2 linked regions of the Neodiprion lecontei genome follow. Each later gene encodes a partner of the first gene's protein in a complex. Links are inferred from orthologs where the notes say so. Each region holds a gene or a part of one and is shown on either strand. Other genes may lie near its edges.

What was found.
Region 2: 2-(3-amino-3-carboxypropyl)histidine synthase subunit 1 (region 1) and DPH3 homolog share a complex: the UniProt entries of both Caenorhabditis elegans proteins name them as parts of the 2-(3-amino-3-carboxypropyl)histidine synthase complex. The link is inferred for Neodiprion lecontei from reciprocal best matches to the Caenorhabditis elegans genes dph-1 and dph-3.

Annotation. Positions count from the first base shown.
Region 1 is NC_060264.1:26,690,314-26,695,265, reverse strand, and holds 2-(3-amino-3-carboxypropyl)histidine synthase subunit 1, read right to left. Parts: upstream 3,180-4,952; 5' UTR 2,809-3,179; coding exon 2,493-2,808; intron 2,209-2,492; coding exon 1,901-2,208; intron 1,824-1,900; coding exon 1,440-1,823; intron 1,282-1,439; coding exon 1,051-1,281; 3' UTR 592-1,050; downstream 1-591. UniProt on the Caenorhabditis elegans protein: Catalyzes the first step of diphthamide biosynthesis, a post-translational modification of histidine which occurs in elongation factor 2.
Region 2 is NC_060261.1:12,575,819-12,581,137, forward strand, and holds the start of DPH3 homolog, read left to right. Parts: upstream 1-2,183; 5' UTR 2,184-2,305; exon of another isoform or gene 2,306-2,526; coding exon of another isoform or gene 2,527-2,573; intron 2,574-5,319. Other genes in the region: matrix metalloproteinase-14, read right to left, coding at 2,029-2,183. UniProt on the Caenorhabditis elegans protein: Required for the first step of diphthamide biosynthesis, a post-translational modification of histidine which occurs in elongation factor 2.

The sequences.
Region 1 (4,952 bases):
ATCCTTTTCAAAAATATTTCGAAAAATAAGGTCAAATCCCTACAAACCATGTTTCTCGAGTCAACGAGCCTTGTGGTAATAATTGTGTCAACACAAATCGATTCGTTATCGTCATTCTGCGCGAATTACATTCCTGCAACGCACACCCGATATGTGGGAAAATACAGGGGTTGGTTTGTTGAGCGTTTACGTGCCTACAGGTGGGCGTATGACGTCAGTCGCCCACGCGGCTCCTTTATCTGTACCCATTATCGCGACAACATCCCGGCCTCATGTTGCGGGGATGCGACGCGACGCGTCGAAGATTCGCGCGGCTGCGCATATCGGGCGGCGCAAACGCGCCGCTATTTAGGTGAGGCCGGGGCTGATTCCCAGTCAAAATGAATTTTTTCCACCACACCTGTTGCCTGATATTGTTATTCAAATAGAAATCGATTACTGAGATGGGGGACAAAAACGCCCACGTGATGAACAAAGTCCAGCTAAGCTTAGCTTTGGCTTTGAATCACTTCCGCATTTTGGATAATGAAGCAATGGATCACAGAGCTTCGCAGCTTACACCAGAGTTCAAAAATTACAGACTTGATTTAGTTTGTTTTAAGATCATGTTTATTACTCTCAATAACAACATCCCGCAATTACTGATGTTACATCGCAAATTCAAGACTGTATTTGTTCAGGAGACGGTACTGGTAAATAATGTACGCGTACCGACAACAAATTACACGCGGAATGTCAAGTGAATCTTCAATTTCAAACTATTTTTCATTTCAAATAGTGAAAATCCTATTTCCTCTTATCTTCTAGATAACGACGTAGATTAGGCAAAGTTAAGCATACAACTTTTAGACTAGTGAACGGAAAAAATTCAAACGATAATCTGAAGGGTATACGGTTTACCTAGATTTCACGGTCGATATTCCCAGTAATTACAAAATATTCCTGATTCTTGCATTCACTAGATACATCATTAAAACTAAGTATAAACGTTTCAATACAAATATCAAATAGGATAGAAAAGACATTTATTTTTCATATATTGAATATTGGCTATTTGACTTCCTTGCACTTTCCACAGCATGCATCGGTCTGTTTTTCCAAATCTGCAGGTTTATGGTTTGGTGTCCACGGGCCTAAACTTGCAGAAGCATAAAAGTCCATAGGATATGGTCTGTCATTGTCCAACTCTGCTAGCTTCAGAGAAACTGAACCCTCGTAGGGCGTCAGTAAAGGCTTTTCAAATGCTGTACCCCAATCTATGCTCAGCCTTGGACATGCGACCTATGAAACAAAGTGTGTAATATAAGAAAACCGATGTTAGACTCGCAAAACTTGAAAAGCCTCGAACGTTACACAAAAGAAAGGTAATCTCAAGTTATATATATCTGAGGAAAAAAGACAGACAATGTATAATTTCCATAGCAAGCTAAGTATCGTACCTGTATAAATGCATCAATATCGTCAAATAACTTTAGTTTATCAGGAAATATTTCTGAAAGAAGAATAATAACGGCTTCTTTCTTCAATACTTTGATCCGTTTCTCAATAGTCTTTAATACATCGGGATTTCCCTGTCGACCCAAGGTGCCTAGTATAAGTCCAAATTTCTCCGCACTTTTAGAAGTTTCAATCGCGGTTCGTCTATTACTTCGCATTCTTTCATGGTCATAGAATTCCTCAGTTAAACTCTTGTCGTAAGGATCGTAACGATAGGCCCGCAATTTGGGGTTCGCAATCATTGCTGCCTCCAAATGAAAACGACCGTCTCCCAAGTATATGACCGCATCTGCGCAGCGAATCTGAGGCGCCGTACACCCGAGCACCTGATTAAGAAATGAAAGAAATTAATGAACACATTCATTAATATATTATGGTTAGTCAATTATTTTAAGACGTTTACTTCGCCAGGGCTAAGAGGTCTGCTTTGTGGTACGGTAACTTCATATCCAGCTTTTCTCATCTCGATAGCGACAGCCTGGAGCGTTGAGGCAAATTGAATAGTGCTGACTAATGCTATTTTCGTTGTTACCAACAAGTTTGCCTGCAAAGACTTTATGCAATGCATTGCATCGATTTTTATATCAACAAATATATACAGGACTTTGATTCCCACTGTTTTGTCAACTGGTATTAGGCAGGAATGACCATAATGGACAAGCAGATCGACCCCGAGAGCCTTTGCCGTATAATCGTCAATGCAGCAAGCACCTGGAAGAAACATTCACCGTCAAACGTCATTGTTGTCCTATTTGGTAAAAGAGTTTAAATTTACTAAATCTAAATATTTGAGATTATAGCTTCAATCAAGCATAAATTTTGTCAATGTATTATTCATCATATTTAATTTTAACATATTTGGAAATTCAATGGCCTAGAGACGATATACCATAAAATTTGAAGTTTCGGAATAGAAATCAAACTTGAAGTGAGATTCTAATGCAAACTAAAACCGAAAAAACACAAATCTAAAACAATTTTGATTGTAATCGTACCATAAGTAACGTCTCCCATAATGACAGTTTCAGCGCAAGTGAATTCTTCTATAATGTCAGAAATGGTGGTCGCAAAAATAAGGAGACCTTCAGGCATTTGAAGAGCTACTCTTTGTGACTTGAGTTCTTTTATTCTCCATATTGTTTTGTGAATTTCAAAGTTATAATTTGTCGGCAAAACTGCAATGGCGGCATTTAGCAACGGGTCGTTTAACTGCTCAGGGGGTATTTTATTTACCCTCACCGGGGCCTTATAAACCCTTCTTACTGGCTTTGCCTTCACCACAACAACTGTGGATTCACCTTGCTCACTCATTGTTATAATTCACGATATCAATCTGTAGATGTGCACTTTTGAACTGTTTTGTAATAAAAGTGAAGTTTGGCTACTTTAAATATTTTCTTATCAATTGTTCATCTACTTTTGTTACCGATTCTTCATGAAAGTTGTCAATTTACTTTATCTTTTCATTTTTTACTATCCACAATGTGCGTATAATGTATCCGCTACGTTTTTCCTACTTTTTCCATACATTACGAGAATACTTCGGACATCATTGTTTACACTTTAAACTAATTTGGTAAATCCACGTTAAGAGGTAACTTTGCTTTTTTGACGTTTCATTTGCTGTTAGATTAGGTTAGATGAAAGTTGAAAGGTTAGGAAGCTTCATCTTGAAAAAAACGGATAGAAGAAGATCACCTTGATTCCAAAACTGGACTACAAAATGTGGTCAAGTCGGTTTCTACCTTAACCGCGAAAGGCAGTCATACAACAAGTGAGATCCAAGATGACGTTTGTACTTTGCTTTATTACTTGTTTATGCTGTTATTCCTGAGCCTTGCCAAATCTAATTTCCTTTGTAAGGAATAAATAAATTTTTTGATCCCCAGAATCTATTTTTTCACGCTCTTTTACGCTGCTAGAAACAGGCGTTTTTTCCCGCTGTTTAAAATCCATAAAATGAATACAAGTAGAATTAGCCTTGTGCCCAGTTTAATTAGCGGTAAAATTTCTGCCAGTGGTTAAAAATAAGCATCTAGAAATTATCGTCAATACATCTAATTTCCCGCTGAAAGAAGAACGGGGCTTTTTCAGAATGCATTAAATGCCCAGTGCGCATACGCCAGAGTGTGTAGTTTTGCTGTAAAAATTGGAATCCGATTCGGTTCTCGGTTCTGTCATTGTTTTCAGCCTACATGGCAACAATCGGTTCTTAACCGAAAATTTACCTTGCGTCATATACTCAAAAGCGTCATGCACAGCGTTATAATAACTAGATACATATGCACGCAGTTCTAAGGATGGTCCGATGCAGCGATACCTAAAGATTCTTTTATTAGGTTGTAAGTCTCGTTCTGTTCGATCGTTCGATTCCGAAGCAATACGTCTGATCATCTAAGCCAGCTTCGCTGTGAGGTATGTAGTTAACAATCGCAAATTAATTTTCTTTTACCAAAAATTGATCGAATCCTTTTAGTATATTCGTTATTTTATCAGTGTCGCGTGTGCCTTGTACGATACATGTGTTCATGCTTGCTTTCTGCTTTCACCAATGTATACAATCAGTTCTGCCTACAATGTTTTGCAAAAATTTGTGCTTCCACCAATGTATCCAATTAGTTCTACCTCCAATGTTCTGCAAAAATTTACTAATACCTGTTACGATTGTTTTCATTAATGTTATTTAATCTATTTGAGAAATGTTCCTTAGCGTGTTGTTAAGATAATAGTAGAACATTATTTTTATTCAGAATGCTTTCTTTTTTCGAAAACTTGGAATGCACTGCCGGCCCACATTAACCCCTTAACATACGATTTAAGTTCCGAACGCGCGGGCCCATAATCAACAGCAAGGTCGGTCATACGTGTAAATACCACGGCTCTCACTCGTGATTCTCATGTTTGGCCCGATCGACGTAGCACGTCTCTCACACGAATATTGTAGGTGAAGGGGTTAAGAACTGTAACATTATGTACCGCTCTAAAACTAGTCTGTGGAATTATACTGCAAAATTTTAATGTATGTTGTATAGTATTAGTGAGTAAGTGATTGCCAAAGCTTGTGTACTCGTCATATGATATAAATTATATTTCTGCACCTATTGATAATAGCTTAACTATTTACCATATGTATAGGACAGTCTTACCTGTTGATTATTTATAAATAAATAAATAAATTATTCTGGAAGAAAGATCAATGTATCTTGTTGGTTTCAAATAACTTTACAGTATTGTTGCAATCCTTATTATTTGTAATATCTTATTTACCCAACATTCAACCATTAGTGATTTTTAATTTTCAAGTAAGAAATCACATTTACCACAGTCTTTAGTTTTGTTCGTTTAATAGAATAATCAATTTTCCTTCCAATGAAGACAAAAATTGATAAATTTTCTGTTTTTTTTTTTTTTAATTTCAACGTTTTATTTTTGCAGTTAGTTCATCCTGTCTTAAT
Region 2 (5,319 bases), on another chromosome or scaffold:
TCTAACTACGTTGGTACAATCATAATTATTCATCTTCCAACGATTCATGTGTGTAACGATACAAATAATTCCACGTCGCGCATCCAAACACATGATATATGTACAATATAGGTAATTGTCATGTCGCAACGTTGCTCTAGCACCTTTGCGTGTGTATCTTGAATTGAGTGGATTGTGCGTAATACAGAAGGGATGGTTTTTCGACGACGGCGAAGAAGGCTTAAAAATATTTAACCGCAGTAATTCAAATAAGTCTGATAATAGTAATTTGTGTCCTTTCAAGTCTGTATCAACAAAACAAAAAGTAAAACATTCAAGTATGGAACTAATCGAAATGCATCGTTATACGTACATTTCCCCTTCAACGCTGACCATTATTTCCAAATCTGATCATCAATAATACCCTTGATTATTTTTTTACCATAACTTTGGCAAGATAATTTGTTTTCCAGAACTTTATAGTATATTATGTAAAGAACTTGAAACCATTCCATTATTCTCTCCAATTATAAATCAGCTCGAAATCTCTGGTTATATACCATATAATATGAAAATAGTAACGATAATGATCCTGATGATGATAATAATAATAAAAATCGTCACAACAGTGTAACGCAGTAGAAACCCTGAATTTCGGTAGATTGAATCAAACAAAGTTTATAACACTACCTATGGAAAAATCTATATACGATTCCATCATTGAGAGAAGATGTTTGTACTGTTACTGTTGTTATTTTTATTATCATTATTATTGTTTTAGTTGGTGTTGTTATTACTATGTCACTGATATTAAAATGATTGACGTTCTTTTATATTATTATGAATGTGGTAAAAACAGGGTTTAATAATATTAAATATACTATACGTCGGTATAATCTCATTCATTGAATAATCATCTATCACTATAATATAGGTAATGATAATTGATATCCTATCTCGTATCCTATATTCATTTGATAATTGTTATATAATTATAGTTCTATGACATGACATTGTAATATGTTACATAAAAATATCACTGACTGAGCAATATGTACATAGCTTATGTAGTTTGAATTGTATAATACAGAAACTGAAATTTCATGCTCGAACCGCACAGTTAGTAGTTCATTGTAGTATAATGTTTTTGTTATTATTTTTACCACCGCGAGATTCGTCTACTAGTACATATAATTTGAATAGTTTATAACCAATTTTTTTCGACTCACACAGCTTCTTGGCAGTATTGAAAAGAGCAAAGTTCGTTACTGTAATGTGCTAATCGACTGGAAACAGAAGCTAATTACTTCATCACAATGAGTATAATTGTTTGTATTCTGGAATTTGATGATTCTTTGAAATAAGATGAAATTGTTGTGCGATTCAAGGACAGAAGATTTATCTAACGTTCGATTTTCGATTTCGATCGAGCCTGCCAAAAATTATTTTTCAAAACATTCGCAAATGTCTTCAAATTTACTCAAAATGTGAATTTCCAACAGTTTCCCAGTTTTTCAGATAAATCTTTGGACAAATCCTGATAATTCCTAGGAATTTTGTAGAAGTATATCAATTTTTGTAGGAAAAAAAAATAACTTCACCAGATTTACGAGAAAACGCTGATATTTTCTGAAAACTTACGAAAGTTTTCTTTATTACAGGTATGTCCAGATTTTTTCAGTTAGAATTCATTCTTCCTGAGAACTGTCCGAAATCACGGTATATTTTTGAGGAACGTCTGAACTTGTTTACGATTAATTTCTAAGAATCTTTGCACCAATATCGATTTTCGGTTTTTTATATTTACCTTGCGGTTCCTGCAACCTGCGTTTCTGGGTTACAATGGTATCGACGTCGATATACCGCGCATTTTGAATTTGAAATTCGAAATTCAAACTGTCTTGGTCCCGTCAACGGTCGTTATTGGGATGTTGGCTAGACATCTCACTTTGTCACACATCTCTAGTCCAAGTTGAGATCGTAAGTTGTTTCGATTCTTCTTCACTCCGCACAACGTTATACGAAGAACGAATTCTACCACGCTGGAAGCTATGAACCGGTCAAAAACTTTGCGATGAGAACTACTGCGAGCGCGGTTGCTCCCCGCCATGTTGGATTTCCGTTTACAAGATGGCCGCCCCCCGGAGCCGACGAACTCGCCGAGTCCTGATTCGATGACGTCGCTAGTTCCTCGTCGGTTCCTCCTGAGAATATTACCAACATTGTTCGAGTTTGTTCGATTGGCGGAAAATTGACGCGAACCACTGCATTCTCGCCGGAGTTTTACGGCGAAGAGAGGCGACACGTGTGGCGGTTGTGGCACGTGGTAAGAGTTTTTTTTTTTTAGTTCCGTTTATGTTTGCGAATGAGTTTGAATTTGTGTTGCCGTTTTTCACGTCTTATCCTTCCGTTTGTGACTTCTGGGGTCCTCTAGATCTTTCCCTTTGACGTTAGGCAACACACACGGGGCAGGCGAGTGTTGTTTGGAACTTATTTGGCTGATTAATCACATTGCGGTAACTAGTTGCCGCGTCGTGATTTGGTTTTTCATTTTCTTTCGAATCCGTAAAACCCGAATCGAAAGTTTGGCTCCTCTGGAAATACCAGGTGAAACACCTCGTTAATTCATTGACCACTCGTCCTTGTTAGTAACTCGCGGAAAATTAGGGGAATACATTGCATCTCTTTGTTAACAAGCATCAGAACGGTTCAACATAACCTTAAAACCCTAACCTTGAGTCGTTTCGCTGTTACATTCTTAACGTTACATTCACGGTGGCGACTTTTACCGTCAATTGAACTCACATACCATTGCCTGGAAACAAACTCCTTCATGTTCGTCTCCGTCGGTAAAAAGTCATTGGAGCGCTTTTCGATCGGTATTGTACCTAATTTTGTATGTAACTGATTTCGTCAATATTTCAGTTCAAATGCAAATCGGGTTCGATTCTAAGCTGTAAATTTCTTGTAGTCGTTCTGAACACGTGAAATTAGAATTCAACGGTTGTTTTTCCTATTTAACTAAATTCTCACAATCTTATCTATAGGAATTTTGACGTATGGAGATTTCAAGTTTCCTAGTCTTGAATAGTAACAGAAAAGATGTCGATAAGCTAGTGAACCTATTGTAAGATATTTGATTCTCGGACTCATGCAGCGGCTTTGAATTTTTACAAACTTAAACTTGTTCAAACTAAAAAAAAATCGAAATTAAGTTCTCTGATTCTCCTTTTTCAAGTTTCTACTAAAGCAATATTTTCTTTCGTTCAAGCTTACTTCATGTTTTTCAATTAAAAAAATTTGTACAATTTTTAAATTTTCGTCCGGATTCGATTTCTGATTGCTGAAGTGTTATGTGAAAAAACTGGTATTACGGTGAATTCGTTTTAAAATAGGCTCCTATAAAGGTTGAATAATTTTCTTTATATGGGAGTTCAGTTTTCGAAATTGGTCAATATTCACACTATTATAAGGCCAAGCTAATTATTTGCACCAAGGCATGTATTCTGGCAGAGAAGCTGTACATGATACGTATTTTTTTTATCATTATTGTTATCATTATCACCATTAATCTGTTTAATTTTTTTGACTTTTGTCATCACTTTCGAAGTCAACAATTACGAGGAATTGGGTTTGCCGCAACATGTTTAGTTTACCCTAAACGTTCATTCAGTTTGTGAATTAAAATCTTTTTAAATTGTTACACTATTATATGATGTTGCAAAATGTAGGTACCGATAGATTTGAAGTCAGAGGTGTTTGAGACTGTTTTTTTTTGTTTTTTTTTTGCACATAATTCTCTCAACGTCACTATCCAGTATTTCTAACCTAATCTTGCGCTAATATTTTAAGCCACTAAACAGTGACGTTAGAAAAATGGTGCGCTTCAAAAATTGTTTCAACTCTTGCGACTGAAGCTATTATTGAACATGTAAAATATGGTTTTCGTTGTTTGAATTGATCTTAAGAAATGATAGTTGAAAAAGAAGAGATCGATCGTTGTTTTCCTTTGGCAAACCCAATTTTTCGGATGCAACTGCAAATCGTAAATCGTTGGCCAATGGATTAGCGAGTAGACGGCAAAAAAAAAAAAAAAAACCGCCCCCGTTTGAAGCAAACTCCATGGATTGCAATTTGTAGTAATATAGAGATAGTCATGTAGACAGATAGATAATAGATAGATGAAGGTGAAAATTATAATCGATGTAACGAATATAATGTCAAACGTATATAAAAGATAGAATACTGAAGTTGCATTACGTGCCAAAAGTGATAAAGAGAATATAAGATAATGATACAGACTACATCGTGCAGGGAGTAACTTAGATTTAAAATATATAATGATAACAAGATGATATCAAAGTAGTAAAGGCTAAATAATAATTGAACGTGCGTTAATTGTTGCTAACAAAGAGATTCCGGTGGATTTTTAGAGAGCGCTAATCAATACGGGGATCAGGAATTACGAGAGCGTTTTTACGGGATTTACTGGTTAGCAGGATTACAGACACAAAATACTCATTCGATTAGATCAGAGTTCCAAACAACGCAGCAACCGCCAATTGCAATTTGCCAAGTCTCTCTTACCATGCACCACATTTTCCGCTGATTTTAAAAAAATTATTATTAGTATCTTCATCGGCAGGTATATAACATTATATAATAAACGGCTGCAGTGTCAATTCCATACCAAATTACATATTATTGTGAAATGCATTTTCGTGCGATGCTTCGCAGTATAATAGCAATAATAATACGTTCAAAACCGTTATCATATTGAAGAGTGATAGAGATAGATAGAAAATTGAAGGTCTATGTGAAATACAGAAAGAGATATAATCATGCAGGTAAATTACTGGTGGGAAGCGGAATCTACTTTTCCTACACCATTTTTTTCATTCCTTTAGCAACGAAATATTGAAACAGATAAATAAAAAAACTAAGTAATAAAAATTTGAAAATCAATAACAAAAGACAATAGAGAAAGAACTAGAATTTTGTACGATAATAAAGCTTGATATCGCAAGCATATACTGCACAAATTTGAAATTTGAAATAAAAAAAAATACGACTTATTTTTTTTAAGGTACTTAAAAATTATGTAAAACATTTCGATTGTATTAAAAAAATTGACTCTGGATCAACTCTGGATTTGGCGACGGCGACGGTGACGTCTTGGTGACACATTATTATAACATTACTATATGTATAATAGTAATAATTGCCTCATTGTTTTGTAAAGTATATAAAAAACAGATCACATTTAACAGAGTTACGTTTAATAATTATTTTTTTAAATATCTCTCTCTGCTGTTGTTTTTAAAAAAATTTGTTTAATGA